3 linked regions of the Lepisosteus oculatus genome follow. The protein of the gene in region 2 purifies or fractionates together with the protein of the main gene of each other region. This does not show direct contact. Links are inferred from orthologs where the notes say so. Each region holds a gene or a part of one and is shown on either strand. Other genes may lie near its edges.

Region 1 (7,507 bases), on a different chromosome or scaffold from region 2:
GGACACTTCGCCTGACGTGCCCTCCCTCAGAGCCTCCTTCCTTTATTATCCTTACCAAACACGCCAAACTCTTTGCTTCCTAATCCTGCTTCCTTACTTCCTCCCACACCCCTAACAAAATCCCCACAGTTGAAACTTTTTCTTTACATGTCTTTATTGTAGAATTAACTTCTACATATACTTTTACCAATTCAACAAGCACTACTAAAAAAATGGAAAAAAAAGTCTTGAAGCCCATATTTAATCTTGCTTCAGGACTCCCATATAACTAATACCTGTAAAGATTCCTCACACTGTTTTGCTTAGATTCTTAAATGGTACTGCCATCGACAAATTCGTAAACATACGGTACCTGCATTAACATTAAATATTTAGCACTTGGGGAGAAAAGCAATGTAACAGTATTTTCCCCACATTGATTCAAAAGGTCTATTTTCATGGTTTGAGATTAAAATTAAGGCCTGCTTAAAGTTCTAGGAGCTTGAAAACTGTTATGAATTCCAGTGTAATCAGTGCATGAGCAACACTTTAATAAATCAACAAATAAATGTGAGAAATTGCTCAATTATATGGTTTACATTGTACTAAAATGAACCGAATAGGATCTTTTTTAGCCTAAAAAAAGGCAGACCCAAAACATAATTTAAGAATCCATTTCAGAAATTATAGTTCAGTCAATACTTGCAAACAAAAGGTCACTTTCAGGCTGGGTATCCAATATTACATGACAAGCTGGGGTCAAAAACGTAATTATAAATGTTCTCATGGGGCTGACTCCTGTAAGCTACATTAGAAATCATATATGTGGTAGCATGTTTCTGTACTTCACATATACTACATTATATAGATTATGAGTCTACAACATAGCATATGTTTTTCTTTCCTTAAACTCCAATTTCCTGGCTGGCCACATTTTTCTGAATACATTTAGCCTGGTTAACAGTCATGCTCGACTCTCTGAGACTGTAAATGAAGCCTCACCTTGTTCATGCACCAACTGGAGAGAACAGTTTGCAGAATTCCCGTTTTTTGCTGACTCACTACATCATTTTTCTCCGAGATAAAACCCTTGGCAGGCATTCCAATGTTAAACTCCCTCCCACAAACATTTAAATGTTTTGGTCTTGCTTTTTCTTGGCTTGTTATTTTAAATTAAGATCACCAATTATTGCATCTAGCACCATTTACCAGATTTAGACTCCCTGTTAGCCGTTATGTGTTCATTAAAGTGGAATAAACGGAACCTGCTGGCTGCCACTGAAATCACAAGATCTAAGGCCCTTAATCTGCAGCATTTGTAGCAAAAGCTATTACACTGCATCTGAAAAAAGGAAAAACTGCTTCTACAGTACATACATTTTCCTGCCAGCGTTCAACCTTCATCATCTAACAGCTTACAGAATCAAACAGATAATTGTACACTCTTATACTAAGGGTGACATAAGTCATAAAACCAACTAAAAACACAGCCTTGGGGTTGCTAATCCTACACGTCACGACTAACTACAAAAATGGTACGCATGATAAAAATATAAAAACTAAGCAATACACCTGTGTGCCAAAAGAGATCCCCATGAGTAAATACAGTGAAATATGCTAGCTGAATTGCCACTGATAGCACAACTCATTCTGTTATAAATCATTCACACAGCATTCAGCATCTACAGGATCTAAGAATGTCCATTTAAAATTATAATTGTACCCTACAGTAGAAAATAGTGGAGGCCACAGCAACAGAGAATCTTGCACTGTCAGAGAGATTTTATGCTTTCCATAAATATTATTTGTAGGTGATTGAACAAATCATTTTTCTCTGGTTTTCATTATTAGTAATCAACTGAGATACACCCTTCATCAAGTGCATCTGTGATTTTCGATCATTCTAATTAGAGGAGCAGCTGAGCTAAAAATAAATGAATAATCATCTCCAACAAGGAGTCCACCTGATGAATTCGCACACCTTTATACAAATCGTTTATTCTTCTGGTGCACTGGATCAGCAATGTCACTACAGGCAAAAAGGATGGATTCTCTGTTCCTCTGAAAAGTTCGTCAGATATTTACTGCTGGTGAAGACCTCTTATCTGTACAGCTAATTAGACGTTAGGGAGATGCAGGTCAGGTTTCTAAGTAATGTGCAGAATAAACTAGAATACGGCTGCTACCCATTGCTAAGAACAAGCAAAAAAATCCTTATAGGAAACATCTGATTTCAAAGTTTAAAATAACCTAAACGCATACATTAGTATATAATAATCTCAGCTAGCAAGCAGCTTCTCATTTAAGCGAGCATTAGAAAACACATGCAACACTACCTTCAGTCACATAGTTGTGGTCTCGGAGAAAGCTGTGGTTGATTTTTCGGGTGTCAATGTCCTCGCCCATTTACAGCAGGATTACTCAGCATGCCCATCCGCAGTGGACTAATCGAATCCGTAGGCTTCCTCACAAGAGCACCATCCATGCTGCCACTGCCTAGCAGAGGCGGAGAACTGCCAGGGGTTCAGAGGATAGCATAATGAGAGCCAAAAGACGAGATGCGGCACAGACTTGTGGTGCAGCTGAGATGTTTGAAGGAGAGGAAGAGAAAAATTGGGGGACAACACACATACACACACACACACAACCCCCGCACCCCTCACACCCACTCACACAGAAGGCATAAAAAGCTTAGCTGGTACAGCAAACTGGCAAGAAAAAAATAGAAGAAGAAAACAGGAGATGGTCCCTTCTGTGGCTTCCCCCCCCCAACTCTATAGAGCTGCAGCAGCACTCCTGTGGTTTGAAGAAACACGCTAGTCCTTTTAGTCAGGTACTCCTTAAACAAGCCCCCATGCAGAGCTGGCTCCTCGTGCTTGCTGCAGCAGGATCTCAAAGGATTTGTGCTGGAAGGAGAGGGTAATGAGTGTGGCTGCTTGTTTGCTTGCAGGCTTGCTGGTGCAGTGTGAAACGGTGTGCGTGTGTGTGCATGCGCGCGCGTGAGAGGAGAAAGAGCGAGAGAGAGAAGCGAGTGTGAGTACTGCTGCTGCTGCCTGCCACTGCTACTGCTGTCATAGGCCTCTGCTGCATCAGAGTAGGCTCCTCCCAGCTTAGCCTATGAGCAGCTAGCCATGATCTGCATTTCCAGAGACTGCAGGTGATTAAAGCTGCACTCTGGGAGGCAGGAGAAGCAGAGGGGAAAACTCTCTGTGCAGCTCTGCTTTGAAATACATCACGTTACTTCTCCTACTGCAGCAAAACAACAAATGTTTCAAAGATTCTGCCTTTAATTACTGTAAGGCTGCAGCAGTAGCCCCCAACTGATACCAGCTGCTGAAAGTGACATGTCATATGGCTCAAATCCTTTATGATTACAATATAGAAATATAGGCAGATAAGAAATATACCTCCTTTCCAGTGGATAAGAATACTAAAAGAGAACGTCTGTAGCACTGGTTTGTAAACAACTGCCAGGAAGATGATGCACATTAATCTGAGTCTCCTAAATGAAGGAGTCTCCAGCCTCATAGAGTCTAGTGTCACTGTGTGAAGAAGAGTAATGGACTAGTTTTCACCAACAAAGAGTCCAGAAAATATGACTAACAGTAATCCCTTAATGGTGTTGGAAATAATTCAGCCTAACTCTCTACAGAGATATACCCGAGGATTCCACTAGGCTTCAAACCAAAAGCACAAAAAAACAATTAATAAACATCTTATTAAGGCCTTTTACAAATATAAAAATTACAGTTCCAAGAGATTTCAAAGGGATCCATGCATGTGCCATTATGAAATAGAGCAGTAATAAGGAATGTGGCAGTAGATTTTCAGTAACACAGATGTTAATTGCAACGAAAGAATTTCTAAGGATTAGTGTTTCCATTAATGAACTCAAAGAAGCTATTCTGATAATGTAGTAAAACAAGATCAGTATCCTATGGATTGTGACCTATATGTGACTGTTCTACAAACTAGATATACAGTAGCTCTCATAAGTAACAAAGTTATCACAAATTCCCAAACATTTAAAGTTACGTAAAACATAGACTAACAAATAACAGAAATAGTGATGTTATTTTATATCCACCCATTTTCTGGTATTCTTATTGATTTTATTCCTAAATCTGTGTTTCAATGGGACAAGTAATTTTTTAGGTAATTTGTCATCTGAAATCTTTAGCTGTGTATAAACAGTTGTATTTATTTTTCAATATCATCCTCCAATCTTGAATCGGGCCGAGTGTAAAGCTACTTAAAATGGCAAAATTAAATAAAACGATGAGTTAGCATTCTTTTCAGTCAGAAGGGACTGCAAACAAAAAAAATAACTTTAGCGTTTAAAAAAAAAGATTTCTCAGAAATAAATAACTGAACTAGCTGTGGCAAATAGCCTGCTCTCATTGTAAATATTTTTTTTTACAAAAGTGGGTCAAAGTACTGGTGTGGTCACCTTTTAGCCTTTTACAGATGGTGAATAGGTGAAGATATGTATGCTTAACATAGCTAAGAGCTATTTGGCAAATTCTCCCAAGAAGACAAAAACTTGTAGCAGATATGGTCTTTACCTGCAGAATGTTCATGATATAAATAGCTGATCATATTGATATTGACAAACAGTAGAAGGGTTGTGAGTATCCAGGACTTTTGATGAACAGCAATGAAAGCTGGCGGTCCTGAGGTGATGTTTTAGCTTGCTTTGGCGTTTGCATTAAACAGTTCAAGAAACGAAAGGTGCCTCCTGAACTCAGACTATGATTGACTTCTCAGGTTATTTTGTGTACATTTAGGTCATTTCAGCCCCACTGACTGATAAACTTCAAAGTCAAGGAAACATCATCCTGTCTGCACCAAGCAGCTTTTGTATTTGAATACAAATTGAAAGTGTACTTCAGAAGACTTCTATACTGGCAGACTCATTCACTTTGAGACACTGCGACTATGTCAAGATTCTTGCTTAGTACAGTATCCCTGCAACAAGCCTAGTTTACAAAGCTAGTGTGTCTTACACCTGATCTACTGTCATTCAAGTCACATTATGTAGGCTTGTACAGAAAGCTCATTGTTCAAGGTCATGATTCACCTCCCATGTAGACCCAGTGGAAGCACTGGGCTTGAATGTCATTCTGGACATTTCCTCTAGAGATTTAGAGCTAGTAGTTGCAGATGCTAAGAAGCTGGAAACGGGATGAAAAGTTCCCTTCCTTAATTCAAGCTTGGAAAGCTTTGCTTGTCAATTCTCAGAACAGGCAAACCTGCACAAATGGACTGACTGGACGGATTATATGAACTTGGAACTTTCGTATACATGTAACACAATGTGCAATGTTGGTTTTAGTCTGTAAATGATGCCTGGCCCCTGTGTGTGTGAACAGGTAACCTCCATTCAAAACTATCTCCTCTCAAGACTAACAAAGCCTGCACAAGTTATGAACCAGACTTCAAAGAAATTAATAAAACAATTCAGTAGCAGAAGCTGCATTAGACATGCAATGTAAGCACATTACTGACTTTAAATGATTTTTTCTGGCATTTCTAAACAAAGCCATTGTCGACTCCTTTAGTAAAGCAATGTGGCGGGAAGGTTGCTGGTGAATAGACCTTTAGATTTATAAATGTTTTAGCATAAATAAACCTTTATTAACCCAGATAAGTCAAGTGAGATCAACGTCTCATTTACAGTAAAAACCTGGAAGGTAACACCGTAGAGAGAGCAGAAACAGTGCCTGTCTGCATTTTTATTTCAATCAATTGCTGCTTTTTCCCCCACTATGGCATTAATCTTGACACCCACATCTAAAACTCAAACAGGGTCCCAGTAGCCCTAGATTCTTCACCTATGCCAGTTGTGATAGCCAGACAGGATTCTCAAAGCACAAAGCATTTTGAAATTGAGATCTGATGCTCTTGCAGAAACACCTGAACTTCCAAAGGCAATTTAAATAACGGTGTGAGCCCCTTTGCTTCCAAGTGCAGCAGGAGCCGTGTACTGCTACTACCCATTTCACTGAAGAGGACACTTAGAATTAGCAAATTCACAGGCCTTGCTTTAAAGAGACACACCACTTTCACTGCACTGTCTAACACAGCCTGCCAAGGCCGCTCGATGGGTGCACCAGCGAGTCCTTTTTATTTTGGGAACAACTTTGTATATACGAACTACCACACTGCTGTGTTGTCCTAACTTAACTCTGGCACTGTCCATACAAACTCTAACACAGCATTGCCAGTCAATACTGTGAGCCTCAATTAACCTAATCATTATGTGCCAAGTGCATCTTGTTTCTAGATGTTGCTGAAGATTTGGCTTGCAGGATGCCACGCACTGATATCAAGGACTTTCCTCTTCCACTCTCAAATTCATATAGGTTGTATAATTCTTTCTAAAGTTTTATGTACATTGGCGCTATAACTGGTTTCATCATTATCCATGAGCACCATTACCATTAATGTTACATTACAGAAGCTTGATTAGATGTGCTAGCATCTTCCCAGCAATCAGCATTTTGAATGTTTATCTTTTTTTATGCTCTTTCTTTTAAGCCACAAACTTAATAAGCTTAAACTTCAGATTCCATGTAACATGGTTCTACATCATTATTTCAAGAAGGTAGTAATCTAGGTTTATCTCGGCTTATGTAACATCCATCCAATAGCACCAAAATTCCATCCATCTATATTCTAACCATTTCTTCCAATTCAGGGTCATGCCTTAGGGCAAACAACAGACACAAGGCAGGGCATTGAAAAATACATGAAATTATCAAACAGTGTAAAAATATAATAATGTATGAAGCACAGTGACCCAGGAGTATTTAAAATAGCTGAGAATCTAGCTTAGTTTTGATAATTGTTTCTCTAACCTTTCATGTAACAAAGGACACTGTACTGTACACCACTATGACTGCCTTGACTTGGTTCAGTTTTGGCCCCTCCTGAGGACAGGCACTACATTAGATATTCTCATCCTTGAATATTCTCCGTCTTGAGCGACTGCTCTAAGGGTTGCACCAACGGTAAGATACCATTGAGCCTTGCTTTTAAGATTCATGAAATCATCGTCTTGTATCCAAAATACTCCTGCCTGTTCTATGCTAATAATACCTAATAAATGACTCCCTCTGAGACATGCTGTTGACGTCTTAGTAAACACCTAAATAAGACTCACATAATTGACTCTTGATTCCAATACAGGGATTTGATGTCCTGGAAAAAAATGTGCATGCGACACATTGAAATCCAACTGAATGCGCATTTGAAAAGCTGAAGAAAACACTGAAGTCAGAGCTCCCCAGGAAGAGATGAAAACTCAAAGCATATCAAGTGATAATTGGGTGAGTTCAATGGGCCATAGGCCACAAAGGGATAAGCAAACAAATACTGACCTGCATTTAACATATTTATGTAAAGTGCATCATAATGGCTACTGCCAATAAAAACACTAAAACAAACACACATTAGACTTTCATTGTAATATGATAAAATGCATGCATTGTTTTAATCATGAATGAAGATATACAGTGTTACTGAT
Region 2 (7,517 bases):
GAAAACCTTTATTTCTCTTCGTTCGCGTGCTTCACAAATTAAGGTTTAACGCAATAAAATAATTTGATCTCATTCCTCGAATAGCCTTTGCATCCTTACAGTGTCTATAGCTGCGCATTAAGCTCTCCACTGGAGGTTATTTATTGGGTTATCAAGAACAAACCCCGCCATTTCAACGCCGGCGGCTTCTCGGCCGTTGTAACGTCGCGGTTGTGACGCAGCGGAGGCGCTACAGGCTGTGGACACTTGTGGGATGAAACACTTCAATCGCGCCAGGTGTCGCGTCAAAAACATATCTCACCGGTTTTTTGCCTGGAACAAAAACAAATCACACCCACATCTCTACCTTTTATCTCAGACGTTAAACCAAGTTTGTGCTCCAGGGAGCCCGGAGGAGCATCCTGACACGGGCGACTGAGCATAATCTTAATCCCGCAAACCTGAAAAAGTCAACAACCTCCGGCTCCACAGGACAGACACTTAACAATCACAGCTCGGCACCGAGCAGGAAAGTCGTCCGTCTCTGGGCAAATTCACGCACCCAACACGGTCATATTTGCCTTCGCCACTCCGGGGGGTTGGGGACCGTCTTTTGGTGAAAGTGTAAGAACGCGTACAAAAAAGGCGATCGCCGCTTGCTCTGGAAAACTCCACACACAAAAAAACCCACCCCGAAACATACAGAAAGCGATGTCTCTTAATTAAAAGCTTACTCCGGTCCTACAGTACATTGCTATCCGGGGACCTTTAACCCCGGCCCTGGGGAACGCTAATGAGCCACGCCGCCAAGAAAGAGCTTCGCCTGGGGGTTGTTAGTGCAGCCAGCAGCACAGGGCACGGAAATTCATTAGCCTAAAGAAGACAGCAATTAATAATCAGATTTGCAGTTGCCCGCTGACACGTGTAACAAGAGTAGTCTTGACATTTGACGTACAACATATAATATTCCTTCAAATTCAGCCATTAATTGCTAATAGTTTACACGAGCTGCATGTTCTGAACAAAAAAGGTTGATAGTCTATTATAGTTATCCGAACTGTAAAAAAAAAAACACTAAGAAGCAATTAAATATCACGCTAATTCGTTTTTATGAATTAAACAGGACTGGACTGAACAGAACTGCTTCTGCTCCTGCTGTATTCAGTATCCCCACTACTGTCTCCTCTCACTGTGTATTCTCATTGTGCATATCTTGTGTATTGTGTCGTCGTCGTTCTGCAAAGGCGCTTTGAGAAGCCACCTGTAAAGGCGCTATATAAATACAGTTCTTTATTATTCCTGGTGTCACGACGGAGTTCTTATTAGGGCGGGTTTGTTATTACCACTGCAGTGATACAATCGGGTTTCAGTGTATTTACTGTATTTTTATCTTCTTTCACGGGAAACTTCAAACACGACCAGTTGTTTCACAGGTGACGACAAACTGTGCGGGGGGCCGGGCAGGCAACCCGGAGCAGCAAAAACAGAACAACAACGATCATTATAACAAGACGAGGAGCGTGAGAAATCACGATACACGTCTTTCAGTGCGACTGTCGGCCGTCTGCGCGCTCTTAGAGGTCTGTTCGGCTTCTCCGGAACACAAACACAAACTTCCAGGGAGACGGAAAACGCGCTTTCTGCCGCCAGTGCCGCTTTATAAGAGGACACCTGCGGCCGGAGCGCTTGTGTGCAGCCGCCCCTGGCACCGCTACTTCCCGCGACACCCCGACAGGAGCCGGGCTGCCCCTGTCAGACTCCCGCCGCCGCCAGCACAGGCGTTGGGGGGACAGAAAATGTGCTTTCTCCCCCTGATATCATTCATGAGCATTATGTAACTCCGTGCTCAGAGTGACCATGCCCCCAAAACCGCGGCTGTTTACATCGCCCTGTCACATTGCATAAGCCGGCGGACCGAGCGCAGCCCTTTTTTTTTCATCTTTGCGAGTTGTCGTGCAAAACCCAGTTACGAATATCCGAGAGTGACCTGCTCCCAGTGCTGAGTCTCCTAGTCTGAAATTAAACTTCACGGTGTGTGTTATTATCATCATCAATGTCTCATTATTTTCACGGCGCTGTGTCGTGACAGTCAAGGGGTGTTGTGTGCAAATGTTCACCAGCCGTGCAACTTCTGCACGGCTGTGCCGCCGACTCTAGAGCCCGGACCGGGGGCTTGCAGCCGCAGGGCAGCTGGCCTCACCCTGCCCTGAACTAACTCCGGGACACTTCCACAGCTTCGGGGCGCCCCGGCTCCGGCAGTCCTCCCCCCAGCTCCACTTTAAAAACTGCAGCCCGTATTCCCCGGCTTGGCGGCGGGCTCGGGGTGTGAATGGGTTTCTGAGCACGCCAGTGTACGAGCTGACCCGGTCCGAGAGTTCGCCCCGCACAGCTCCGGCTCCGGCTCCGGCTCCGGCTCAGTTCACGACGCTGCAGCCGAGCGCCGCCCGCGCGCCTGGGTCAGACCCCGCGCCCGGGCCGTGACAGCCGAACCCGAGCGGACCCGAGCCGAGCCGCGGTCCATTGCACAGTACTTGCCTCGGTCTTGGTGATGCGGTGTCTCGCCAGCTTCACCACCGCGAAATTCCCTTTGCCTAAAGTGCGCTCGATATCGTAGAAGCCCACCCGGACCGGACCGCGGTGCGTCGGTTTCTGGTGAGTATCCGCCATGACCATGCTGTTCCGAAGGGGTGAAGAGGGTCGAGGGTCGGGGGGGGAGGGAGAGGGGGAGAGAGAAAAGCGGGGTACCGCACGGCTTGAGCCACAAGGAAGAAGACGAAGAAGCAGGAAAAAAAAACCCAGCCGGGCGCTAGGAACTGTCTATTAAAAAGAGGCGCAGTAAAATCCCCGCTTCCCGAGCCAGCTTGAAGGTTGACAGCGTCCTCAGTCCAGCCGAAGGGAGACAGGACATTTACCGGTGGGACAGGAATCTGTCACGCCGCCCTTTCCAATACAAAAGGGCTATAATGTTTCAGCCCTGTTGGGCAGACTGCACGGGCTGACTTCGAGCAGAAGGCATCGTGTTCCCTGGTTGACGTCCATTGACGTCAGAGCCGCTGGGGGTATTTGTACAGGGGGCGGGCCTTTGAAGCCGTTCCACACTCCGGTGCCAATTCGTCTCCAAGACGACCAGATCCACCTCTGACGTCAACCGCCGGCGAGTGCTATTCTAAAAGCTGTCAATCTGCGCGCTCGGCCGGCGCGCTCGCCGCGGGTCTGCAGATGGGAGCTGTGATAATACCTTTTGTTGAGCGGCTCGGAGCTTTTTTTGTTTTGTTTTGTTTTTGGAGGGGAGGGCTTTAAAATGTGCATTTCAAAGCTGTTAACATACTGTTGACCTTGTGCCTCTGTGTTAGGTAGACGATCTTAAGCGTGTCCGCCGAGCACTCCCGCTCTTTTGAAGTGCCGTCTGGCTGCAACCTGTCTTGGTCGCAAACGCTGTAGCTACAACCTGTTGTGTTATAATGGCAGTTTATCGTGGTGAAGTTTATTATACGGTGTTGTTTTTATTTTATTTTGCCACGTTCGTACTGTGCTCCGCACTGAAGCACGCAGAAGAAAATGTTCCCTGCACCCCGCGCTTCGCCCCAGGTTTCTGCTGCATTCTTCAATTATTCAGGCCGCTGTAATGAGTATTTCCGAGTTACCTGCGATCCTAAGCCTACACGAAAAGCACCAACCAAAACAATGTAACAAGAAACGTGCACGCGTATCTATGCCTGTCTCCCCCAACACAGAACGCAATTTTAATTCGCTCTGAATAGCACCCTGGACCCGCAAGCAGACTCGAACATTATTGTTGCGTGTAGAGTCTGACTGTCAACCCGCTGAGCTGCAGCCTCTGTCGACACAGCCAGGGCCGCCGCGGGGTCTTCTCTTCCGCGATCCCGCACTCGGCTTCGGCGGGGGAGCGCTGCCCCCTGCCGGCGGCCGGCGGGTACTGCAGGCAGAGCGCACGCAGTGGGGGGGCGAGATGTGGGGAATCGGCCTCGGGCACAGAGTGACTTCCCCCAGACGCCTTATTGTGTATTGTTCCGCAGCCACATGGACAAGTTACTGAGCTCAGTTACGTAAGAATGCAGTTCAGGGAAGAAACTAGAACACAGGGTCAGTTCCTAGTATTTATCACCTCTGATGTAGAAATACTAGCTGTTAACATCCATCCATTTTCTGACCTCTTCTTCCAGTTCAGCCGGGAAGCTGGAGCCTATCCCAGCCAGAGACAGGCACAAGGCAGAGTACAATCTGGAGGGGACATCAGACCATCGCAGGGCACACAGGCACAGACACGCACTCACACCCGGGCCGGTTTTCCCAGAAGCAACTGAAACTACCAGCATGGACTGTGGGAGGAAAGCACAGCATGAGCACTGGGGAAACATGCGAACTCCACACAGACAGCCCCCCGGGTCTGGAATTGAACCCAGGGCCCCAGCGCCGTGAGGCAGTGGGCAGAGGCAGTGGCACTGGGCCACTGGGCCTCCCTAGCTGTTAACGTTTGTGCAAATTAAATATTCATTTAATCAAGCCTATTGAAAAGCACTGGACCATAATAGTTGTTAATGCCCCCCCAATTTGCAACAGAACTGACTGACATTCTTGCCTGTCAAAGTTCCCCTGGTGATGCCTCTCCACTAACACACCCAATCAGTTCTTTTGAATCCCTTCTGCTCTGCTGTGAGCAGAAGAACACAAGAACAGCTACAAATGAAAGTAGCCAACCGGCCCCGTTAGGCCACCTGGTAGTTAGTAGTTACAGTAAATGATCCCAGGACCTCATTCAGTCATTTCCTGAAACAAACCAGAGTACTGGTCTCAACAGCAGGACAGGACAGCTTGTTCCAGACTCCCACGATCCTTTGCGTAAGGAAAGAAGTGCCTCCTGGTATTGTTTTTAAGTGCATTTCCCCATAATTCCCACCTATGTGTTCTTTTTTTGCCCAAGTTTCCAAGAAGCAGCATTTGGATTCAGATTTAAATCATTCTGTGGAATGAATAGATAAGAGCTTCAACTCCGTTCAGAGAACAGGGGAAAGGAGCCCGAGTGTCAGAGGTATCAATGTGGAGCATCTAATCCGATGACCCAGAATGTCTGTGAGCGAATGTCTGTGAGAAAAGTACCTCCTCAGAGGGCCTCCACCCACCCTGTTGGCCCCCTGAAGAGATGTGCATCGTCACCTGACTGATCTGGGGGGAGGGGGGGGGGGGGCGACGACGTCCCCTGCCTGGTCCGTCAGCTGCGACACACCGCCCCCTGCAGGCCGGCGTCCACTCACGGCCCTGCAAAACACCAGAGGCGCACGCGGCTCACTCACATACACAAGCACCAGGCAACTGGGTTGTTCTCATTGTTTATTTCAGTTCCGTGTACATGATTGGATACAGCAAACACATTCCAGTTTTCCGACTTCCAGAGTGCAGGGCGCGCGGTCGGGCACCGGCGGACTGTTGGGAGCGTCAGGCCGGAGTTGGGAGTGGGCTTGCGCAAGGGGTCCGCACGCGCGGGTCTTTAGACCTTCTGGTGCAAACCCAGGCAGGCGCGGCTGCCAGCACTGTATCATCGGGGGTTCCTGGCACGGTTTCTCCGTGTTCTGCAGACGGAAGCAGCTGAGTATTTGTCGAAGGAGCCATGGGTGTGTTTGGTTCCCTCTGGGGCAGTATTCCAGTCCGGATAGAGCAGTCGGGGAGATACAATTGCCGGTCAGGAGCAGTTCTCTTCTCCATCAGCTGGCGACTGCGTCTGGATCTGGCGGGTCTGTTGATAAAAAAAGGCCGGAAGAGCTGAACAGCTCCCGGCGCCTGCGGAGGTGGGGGTGGCAGAGGTTGTTGGGGCTGTTGAGGCCGACACTCTGGGCGATGACCCGGAGACTTCTCCAGGTCTTGCATCTGCAGCAGGATAGCCGATAACGGAGCCAGCAGGGAGTTCTGCGCAGCGACAGCTGCCCCGTATACGCGAGAGCAAGATCAGATTGGTTTTGGGGGGCGGCGGGATGGCGGGGGGGGGACCGGGGCGGGGCCTAGTAGCCGTAGATCTCGTTCTCCACCCAGCCGGACTCCCGGTTCGGCCGCCCGCGGCCCTGGCACGTCTCGTAGATGTCGTTGGTGACGAAGCCGCTCTCGGTGCTGGCCAGCGTGGCGAAGCCGCTCTCCGAGGTGTTGCCGGCCATGTTGTCGTAGTCGCTGGAGAGCTGGTCGTCGGGCGCGCCGCCGGCCGGGGAGGAGCCCCTGAACGAGGTGATCTTGATGTCCGGCCGCGTGCCCGCCAGGTCGGCCTCGTGCTGCTTGCGGATGACGTGGTACACGTCCAGGCTGGGGCTGCTGGCGCGGTCCGGCGACATCCACAGGGTGGGCTCCTTGTGACACGCCTCCGTGCGCTCCTTCCTCCTGCGCGGCAAGCAGACAGGCGCCGGGGTCAGCGGGCGGGGTCGCGCGGGTCGCCAAGCTGCGTGGACCTCAAGGGCGGAGGGCGGGACTGGCGCAAGGAGGGCGGAGGGCCTCTTACCTGCTGGCGAAGAGCCGGAAGCAGAAGACGCCGGTGGCCACCAGCAGGAGCAGCAGGAGGGGGATGGTGGGGATGACGATGTACACGATGTTGAGGATGTTGTCTGCGAGGGAAGCATCGGAAGGAGCTTAATCTTTCCGGTCTTTTACAGAAGGAAAACAGAAGGGGCTGGATGCCGGGACTCAGGAATATAAAAGGCATGGACCAAGTCAATCTACAGCTTCAGGATCAACAAGGACCCGGGGACACCAGGGGGGAAATTACAATTTTTCAGTCCAGGCCAGGTCGGTGGAGACCTGCAGGCCGAGGGCAGGATGTGGGCGTTATCCGTAAAGCTCACTTGGCACCAACTGTTTTTCAAAAGCACCCCTTCCTTGCAACGGGACGCCCCCTTACCTTTTGACTTGGTCATCAGCACGTCGACCTTCTCCTCCCTGTCCGTGACCGGAGGGTACTTTGGCCTTGGAGACGTAGCTGCAGCTTCTGCAAGACGAGCGTTTCAGAAGAACAAGAAGGTAAGGGTTTGGAAACACACGGCAGCCAGTGGGTGGCCTCCTTTCTCTCCAGATAGCCGTTTGTTAGCAGTAGGAAATAAAAGGAGTTTGATAACAGACCCTTCTGTTCCTGTAGTGAACACTCCTATCCCCTTCCCGTCCCATTCCCATCTCCCCCACAGTTCACAGTGGAAGTGGTGAGACTGGGAGGGGCATGCCCGCCCGCCCTGCAGGAGGCACTGTTCCCCACAGGGATAAGACTGGAGCAACAGCAACCAGGGGCTCTGCAACTGGGTCATTTTAAAATACCCCGGATATGATGAGCTGAACCAACTTCCCCAGAATATAATAATAACTCCTCACACTTATATAGTGCTTTTCTGGAGACTCCACTCAGAGCTCTTTACAGGTCATGGGGATCCCCTCCACCCCCACCAGTGTGTACCCCCACCTGGATGATGCTCCAGTCCTCTCCCCACACACCAGCTCTCAGTGGGGAGGAGAGCAGAGTGATGAGGCCAGTTCAGAGACGGGGGTTATTAGGA
Region 3 (7,768 bases), on a different chromosome or scaffold from region 2:
GAAATTGCACGGACTTCATAAAAATGTCTTCAAAATAGAGTAATATTGTTTTAAATTTATTGCTGCTGAGTGGCCATTTAAAATATAAACGTCAACTGCTATTTTTGTGCATGTGTAGAGTTTATTTTAGGTTTCCCAATTAAAGAGATTTTTATCCCTCTGTTTCTTTCTTAAGTTCAGTATCATCTCCTTTATTAAAATTTATCAGAGAAAAAAAAATGATCAGAGTTCATTTGGCTGGATGTCTCATCCTCAGAAATGCAGAGTACAAGCATTACAGAACACACGCAAAAAAATGACAGAATCACTCACTGAACGCCTGCCAGTCCAAGTACAGAATCGCTCACTGAACCCCTGCCAGTCCGAGTACAGAGTTGCTCACTGAACCCCTGCCAGTCCAAGTAAAGAATCGCTCGCTGAACCCGTCAACCTGAGGACAGAAGCACTCACTGAACTCCTGAAAATCTGAGGACAGAATCATATACTGAACCCGTCAGTTTGAGAACAGACTCGCTCAATGAACATGCAATTCTGTCCTCAGACTGATGGGGGTTCAGTGTGCGATTCTGTCCTCAGACTGATGGGGGTTCAGTGTGCGATTCTGTCCTCAGACTGATGGGGGTTCGGTGTGCGATTCTGTGCTCAGACTGATGGGGGTTCAGTGTGCGATTCTGTCCTCAGACTGATGGGGGTTCGGTGTGCGATTCTGTCCGCAGACTGATGGGGGTTCGGTGTGCGATTCTGTCCTCAGACTGATGGGGGTTCGGTGTGCGATTCTGTCCTCAGACTGATGGGGGTTCAGTCTGTGATTCTGTCCGCAGACTGATGGGGGTTCGGTGTGCGATTCTGTCCGCAGACTGATGGGAGTTCGGTGTGCGATTCTGTCCTCAGATTGACAGGTTCGGTGTGCGATTCTGTCCTCAGACTGGAGGAGGTTCGGTGTGCGATTCTGTCCTCAGACTGATGGGGGTTCGGTGTGCAATTCTGTCCTCAGACTGACAGGTTCGGTGTGCGATTCTGTCCTCAGACTGATGGGGGTTCAGTGTGCGATTCTGTCCTCAGACTGATGGGGGTTCAGTGTGCGATTCTGTCCGCAGACTGATGGGGGTTCGGTGTGCGATTCTGTCCTCAGACTGATGGGGGTTCGGTGTGCGATTCTGTCCTCAGACTGATGGGGGTTCAGTCTGTGATTCTGTCCGCAGACTGATGGGGGTTCGGTGTGCGATTCTGTCCGCAGACTGATGGGAGTTCGGTGTGCGATTCTGTCCTCAGATTGACAGGTTCGGTGTGCGATTCTGTCCTCAGACTGGAGGAGGTTCGGTGTGCGATTCTGTCCTCAGACTGATGGGGGTTCGGTGTGCAATTCTGTCCTCAGACTGACAGGTTCGGTGTGCGATTCTGTCCTCAGACTGATGGGGGTTCAGTGTGCGATTCTGTCCTCAGACTGATGGGGGTTCAGTGTGCGATTCTGTCCGCAGACTGATGGGGGTTCGGTGTGCGATTCTGTCCTCAAACTGATGGGGGTTCGGTGTGCGATTCTGTCCGCAGACTGATGGGGGTTCCGTGTGCGATTCTGTCCTCAGACTGATGGGGGTTCGGTGTGCGATTCTGTCCGCAGACTGATGGGGGTTCGGTGTGCGATTCTGTCCTCAGACTGATGGGGGTTCAGTCTGTGATTCTGTCCTCAGACTGATGGGGGTTCGGTGTGCGATTCTGTCCTCAGACTGATGGGGGTTCGGTGTGCGATTCTGTCCTCAGACTGATGGGGGTTTGGTGTGCGATTCTGTCCTCAGACTGATGGGGGTTCGGTGTGCGATTCTGTCCTCAGACTGATGGGGGTTCGGTGTGCGATTCTGTCCACAGACTGATGGGAGTTCGGTGTGCGATTCTGTCCTCAGATTGACAGGTTCGGTGTGCGATTCTGTCCTCAGACTGGAGGAGGTTCGGTGTGCGATTCTGTCCTCAGACTGATGGGGGTTCGGTGTGCAATTCTGTCCTCAGACTGACAGGTTCGGTGTGCGATTCTGTCCTCAGACTGATGGGGGTTCGGTGTGCGATTCTGTCCGCAGACTGATGGGGGTTCGGTGTGCGATTCTGTCCTCAGACTGATGGGGGTTCGGTGTGCGATTCTGTCCTCAGACTGATATGGGTTCCATGTGCGATTCTGTCCTCAGACTGACAGGTTTGGTGTGCGATTCTGTCCTCAGACTGATGGGGGTTCGGTGTGCGATTCTGTCCTCAGACTGATGGGGGTTTGGTGTGCGATTCTGTCCTCAGACTGATGGGGGTTCGGTGTGCGATTCTGTCCTCAGACTGATGGGGGTTCGGTGTGCGATTCTGTCCACAGACTGATGGGAGTTCGGTGTGCGATTCTGTCCTCAGATTGACAGGTTCGGTGTGCGATTCTGTCCTCAGACTGGAGGAGGTTCGGTGTGCGATTCTGTCCTCAGACTGATGGGGGTTCGGTGTGCAATTCTGTCCTCAGACTGACAGGTTCGGTGTGCGATTCTGTCCTCAGACTGATGGGGGTTCAGTGTGCGATTCTGTCCTCAGACTGATGGGGGTTCGGTGTGCGATTCTGTCCGCAGACTGATGGGGGTTCGGTGTGCGATTCTGTCCTCAGACTGATGGGGGTTCGGTGTGCGATTCTGTCCGCAGACTGATGGGGGTTCGGTGTGCGATTCTGTCCTCAGACTGATGGGGGTTCGGTGTGCGATTCTGTCCTCAGACTGATGGGGGTTCCGTGTGCGATTCTGTCCTCAGACTGACAGGTTTGGTGTGCGATTCTGTCCTAAGACTGATGGGGGTTCGGTGTGCGATTCTGTCCTCAGACTGATGGGGGTTTGGTGTGCGATTCTGTCCTCAGACTGATGGGGGTTCAGTATGTGATTCTGTCCCCAGACTGACAGGTTCGGTGTACGATTCTGTCCTCTGATAGGGGTTCGGTGTGCAATTCTGTCCTCAGATTGATGGGGGTTCAGTGTGCGATTCTATCCTCAGACTGATGGGGGTTCAGCGTGCGATTCTGTCCTCAGACTGATGGGGGTTCAGTGTGCGATTCTGTCCTCAGACTGACAGGTTCAGTGTAAGATTCTGTCCTCAGACTGATGGGGGTTCGGTGTGCGATTCTGTCCTCAGACTGATGGGGGATCAGTGTGTGATTCTGTCCTCAGACTGATGGGGGTTCGGTGTGCGATTCTGTCCTCAGACTGATGGGGGTTCGGTCTGTGATTCTGTCCTCAGACTGATGGGGGTTCGGTGTGTGATTCTGTCTGCAGACTGATGGGGGTTCGGTGTGCGATTCTGTCCTCAGACTGATGGGGGTTCAGTCTGTGATTCTGTCCTCAGACTGATGGGGGTTCGGTTTGCGATTCTGTCCTCAGACTGACAGGTTTGGTGTGCGATTCTGAGACTGCCGGCCTGGGAATAAAACCAGCAGGCAAACATGAACAAGTAGACACAAGAGGAAAAACCACAGAGTGGAATTTAAAACTGAGAACAGCAGGAGGCCCTTCTCTACACAAAGAGTCGTGGGAGTCTGGAACAATTTATCCCACCCTCTTGTCAAATTTGATCATCCCAGCTCCTTAAAAGGAGCGACTGGATGAGATCCTTCGATCAACTAGCTACTAGCAACCCAACAAGCTAAATGGGCTGCATGGCCTGCTCTCATTCGTAACCTTTTTTCTGTTGTTAATAAAATGAAATCAATATTGAGCGGGCCCTCCTTCCCTGCTTGTGGCTGCTAATGTACCACGTGCTTCTCTGAGTGCTCCTGCAGCAGCTACTCCTGAGGGAGACACTGTGCCTTCCTGAATCATCCTCATAGCCTGTGGAAAACAGACACGACTGTAATTTCACATAGCACGTCATTTTTACAGGCCTGCTTACTTGTTGTTGTTCTGACTTGTCGTTCTTGTTTGCTTCATTAATGTTAACACCGGATGAATTAATTGAACAAAAGAATAAGCCTTTCTGTTGGTTGATATTTCACACTCTACATACAGGGATACAGCCTCAGCTTTTTACTGAAGCTTTTCTTCAGAACAGATCAGAAAAACTGTGGGAGACGGCTTTTAGGGTTTTTTTAGTTGTAAAAAAGATCTATTTACCTGTAATGGACAAATCTGTTTTTTTGACACATTGATTTTCATAATTTTAACACAACTATCTTGTGAACATTTGTTTTTCTTTTAAATGACGCTTCTATGTTGTGCCATATTTTTCAGTTAATTTTATTGCATTTTGTAGCATTTTTCATCCCCCTAGAATCCCAAATCGAAATTGTGTTCACGAACAGAGGACTTCCAGAAGAAGTCCGGGGACCACATAGGGATCCCCGAAACAAAGGGAGCCCCTCTAATCCCCAATCCTGTACAGTGCTGTTGTGTAAAACTAACGTCCGCAGTAGATCTGCCCTGACGACGATGACGGAGGTTCTGCTGGCCTCTGTGTTTCTTTCCAATTACAAATCGGTTTGTCACACAGTAATTACAGTTCTCGACGGAACCGCCTGTGAAAGTCCGGGACCGGTGTCGCAGTGACGGGAAGGCGCCACATTCCCAACCGACACAGCTCGGGCTCCTTCAACTGCCGGAGCCCCGCTCGCGGACTCCACGCTCTTCGCTTCAGAGCTACGCGCACACTCGCGCGGGGACTCCAATCTCCAAGTTTCTGTGGTTGCCAGGGAGCGGTTGCTATGGCTGCGAGCTGGTGCAAGAAGGGAGGGGAGAGCGAGTGAGCGAGCGAGCGCAGGAGAGAGAGAGAGGGTGGTGGACTGGGTTAGTTTCCCGGATGGAGATCCATCGCCATCTTTAGTCCAGTGCTGCCGGTGGAGTGGGGACGCGCTGCTGCTGCTGCTCCGCCAGGAACCGCCGATCGACTCACGCAGACTCGCCCGCCGCCGAGCCGCTTCTCCACAGCCAGTGCAGACACCGCCACGCCGGCTCCGAGCAGACATGGGAGACCGAGAGGACTTGGTGTACCAGGCCAAACTGGCCGAGCAGGCTGAGAGATACGACGGTAAGAGGGAGGGGAACCAGGGCGGTGTTATTTTTGGGGAAGAAATCTGTATTTTTCTCCTTCGCTGCCGAGCGCCTTCCTCGCCCTCCCTCTGGCGGAGGGGGGCTGGGGGAGAGGACAGGCGGCTGAAGATGGAGTCCGGCAGAGAGACAAAATGGCGACGGTTTCACGGGGGGCAGACGGGCTGTGCGGCGGGGAGGGAGAGCGGCGCCGGGCACACGCCCCACGGACACCCGCGGAGACACGGGTGACCGCGGGCGCCCGGCAGGGGACAGCGAGACCGTGCGGGTCCGGAGCTCTCGGCGGGGGGGAGGGGGATCGCGTCCGCTGTGTTGCAGCGAGGAATTGCATCCAATTTTTGCGAGTTTGCAAAATGGCGGCTAACAATAGTAGATAAATTAGCGGAGGGGGGCGAGTGCGGGGCGGCGGGTCCGGCGGGACTCGGGCGGGAGCCGGGGCGGGGAGACGGGGTTTTGGGCCGGGAGGCGCGGCCGGGCGCAGTCCGGGGCTTTTTTCCTCCGGGGGAGCGGCGTCGCTCGGGCGGCGGGGAGGGGGGAGGGTGTCCGGCGTGCAGTGGGGTCCGGCTGGCTTTGTCCCCGCTGGGGCCGGGCCGGGGGCGAGGCTCGGCGAGGGCAGCCGGACCGCTCCGCTCCCCGGGGGGCAGGGAGAGGGGTGGGGACACGGACCGGACCCCGTCTTCTCGGGGCTGTGGCGGCGGCCGGGGTGCTTCAAAATGGCGGCTGCAGTGAAATGGGATTTGGTCTGACACCGAGGTTTCCGAATGGAGGTGGTTTTGAATTTTGATCTTTTCAAAGAGATCGTCTTCATTTCTGTCTGGTCTTGCGCTCTCGCGTTCGTCTGCGCGTCCGGCGTGACACACGCCCAGCAGAAACGGGAGCAGACCGAGTTAGATTAAATGTTTTATAAATCCTCTCTGATATCAGAGCAGAGCTCCGCGTGTTTTGAAGTGAATGTGACCCAGACCCGTCTTATTTGATCATATTTAGTCAACCGTTTGGTTGTGTGTGGCGGGGAATCCTGCGTTAAGTAATGGCGACCCTGGATCTTCCCCTCGGCGGCGCGGCAGCTGTGGAGCACCGTGCCCTGCGTGGGGCGCCGAGGTGCCGACTGGGGTTTAGCCCGGAGCTCGGCTGTGGGTGTGGTAGGGGCAGGGGTCCACGCCGCGCTGGGCTCTTGCGCAGCCGGCTGCAGGACGGATCCCTCCGGCTGCACGGCAACATCGTCCTGCGGTTTTCACGTCCTGGGCTGGGATCGGGCTCTTTCGGAAGGGGGTTGTCCGTACTGTGTGATTTTAAACCGGAGGGAGCGGGGGGCTTAAGATGGCGGTGGTTCGCTCAACGTCGTAATTGGCTGGAAGCTGACAATAAACAGAAGAGACGCGGTGCTTGATTAATGCCCCTCCGTATCCAAAGCTGTGAGCCGTCGTGCACGGAGCCACAGGTGACCGAGAGCTGCCGAGAAGCCCGTCGGCGATATTACGGCATGTCTGCTGCATGCTGGAGTGGTGAATGGCGAAGGCTCCTCCCTGCTGTCCGCCCGCAGTTCATTCATTACAGCAGCCGCCGGCCGCAGGCGCTTTTCCTGCCTGCATCGTCGCCCACAGCGGCGCTCATGTGCCCAGTCCTGATTTTAGCTGGTTCTGGTCGTCACCCCTCTTAGGCAAACCACAACCATCATGCTGCGGTTCTTTTCTCTGTCTGTCCTCTTTGGTGCAATACTAGCATACACAAATAAACTTCGGGATCCAGTTGAAAGCTGGATGCTTTGGGGCTGCTGTGTGATCATTCGAATTCCGCTTCTGTGTGTACATGGGCAAATCTGCCCCTGTGATGACCTTACCTAAATTAACTGAGAACTGACAAGGGTTTGAAACACCCCATCTCTTCCTCTCGGTGAGCTGTGGGCTGGAGTGACAAACACGTGCGTTGGTGCAGACCTAGGTGTACAGTTACAGTTGTGCGCCTTACATCAGATCCTGTGAGGGTTTGAGCCACATGCTGCTGCTGCCCCCTGCCATTCAAACTAGGCCAGTGCTGCTGTCTGCGTTATGGAGGGCATCCACAGAGAATGAGGTCACTGTTTGAAAAGGCCATTTAAATGGGTCCACGTTTGTGGGCGGTGTAATGAAGCATGTCAGAATGGTGTGGCTTCTTTTTCCTAACTGGATAAACTGCAGGTTCTTGCAGCTCTCCTCACCTGTAAATGGGGACTTTCAGATGCAAGTGTGGAATTCCATTTCTGTAGTGCTTTTCTTCCCTGAGTATCCCAGAACACTCTGCATTTAGGGCAGGACCCTCTTCATCCATCAGTGAAGAGCAGCCCTACCTGGATGACGCACTGCTCAGGCGAGCAGGAGGGAGGAGTGAGAAACTGCTGCACCAGTTAAACTAAGGGGGGCCTTAGGGGAGGGGGGGACAGACTCTGTAAATCCAGAATGGAATTAAACTGGGTTAAAACCTCATGTGGTCTTCAATGAGCAAGTATCAGGACTTCCATTTAACACCCAGAGGACTGCAGCACTCTCTCCTAATCACCACAGTGGGCCATTGGGATGTTGGTTTGGAATTGTCTTGTAGAAAGAAGAGCACCCCCTACTGGTCCACCATAACCAGGTTTTCTGTCTGCCATACCAGTACTGACCTGGCCCAGCCTTGCTTAGCTTCTGAGGTGTGGCAAGACCACATGGTGCTAATGCTGCTGTCATTGTAACCTGTAGTGTACTTCT

The links.
Region 1: the proteins of sik2a (region 2) and serine/threonine-protein phosphatase 2A 55 kDa regulatory subunit B beta isoform purify together in Homo sapiens (affinity purification with mass spectrometry; 3 studies listed by BioGRID and IntAct, counting the BioPlex papers as one, with this or other methods). This does not show direct contact. The link is inferred for Lepisosteus oculatus from reciprocal best matches to the Homo sapiens genes SIK2 and PPP2R2C.
Region 3: the proteins of sik2a (region 2) and ywhae1 purify together in Homo sapiens (affinity purification with mass spectrometry; 3 studies listed by BioGRID and IntAct, with this or other methods). This does not show direct contact. The link is inferred for Lepisosteus oculatus from reciprocal best matches to the Homo sapiens genes SIK2 and YWHAE.

What each region holds. Positions count from the first base shown.
Region 1 is NC_090696.1:42,685,095-42,692,601, reverse strand, and holds the start of serine/threonine-protein phosphatase 2A 55 kDa regulatory subunit B beta isoform, read right to left. Parts: upstream 3,057-7,507; 5' UTR 2,386-3,056; coding exon of another isoform or gene 2,316-2,385; intron 1-2,315. UniProt on the Homo sapiens protein: The B regulatory subunit might modulate substrate selectivity and catalytic activity, and might also direct the localization of the catalytic enzyme to a particular subcellular compartment.
Region 2 is NC_090718.1:15,495,867-15,503,383, forward strand, and holds the start of sik2a (serine/threonine-protein kinase SIK2), read right to left. Parts: upstream 3,023-7,517; 5' UTR 2,653-3,022; coding exon 2,515-2,652; intron 463-2,514; exon of another isoform or gene 1-462. Other genes in the region: layna (layilin), read right to left, coding at 5,994-6,360, 6,479-6,581, 6,875-6,961. UniProt on the Homo sapiens protein: Serine/threonine-protein kinase that plays a role in many biological processes such as fatty acid oxidation, autophagy, immune response or glucose metabolism.
Region 3 is NC_090721.1:11,108,907-11,116,674, forward strand, and holds the start of ywhae1 (tyrosine 3-monooxygenase/tryptophan 5-monooxygenase activation protein, epsilon polypeptide 1), read left to right. Parts: upstream 1-4,763; 5' UTR 4,764-4,958; coding exon 4,959-5,022; intron 5,023-5,739; exon of another isoform or gene 5,740-5,772; coding exon of another isoform or gene 5,773-5,809; intron 5,810-7,768. UniProt on the Homo sapiens protein: Adapter protein implicated in the regulation of a large spectrum of both general and specialized signaling pathways. Binds to a large number of partners, usually by recognition of a phosphoserine or phosphothreonine motif.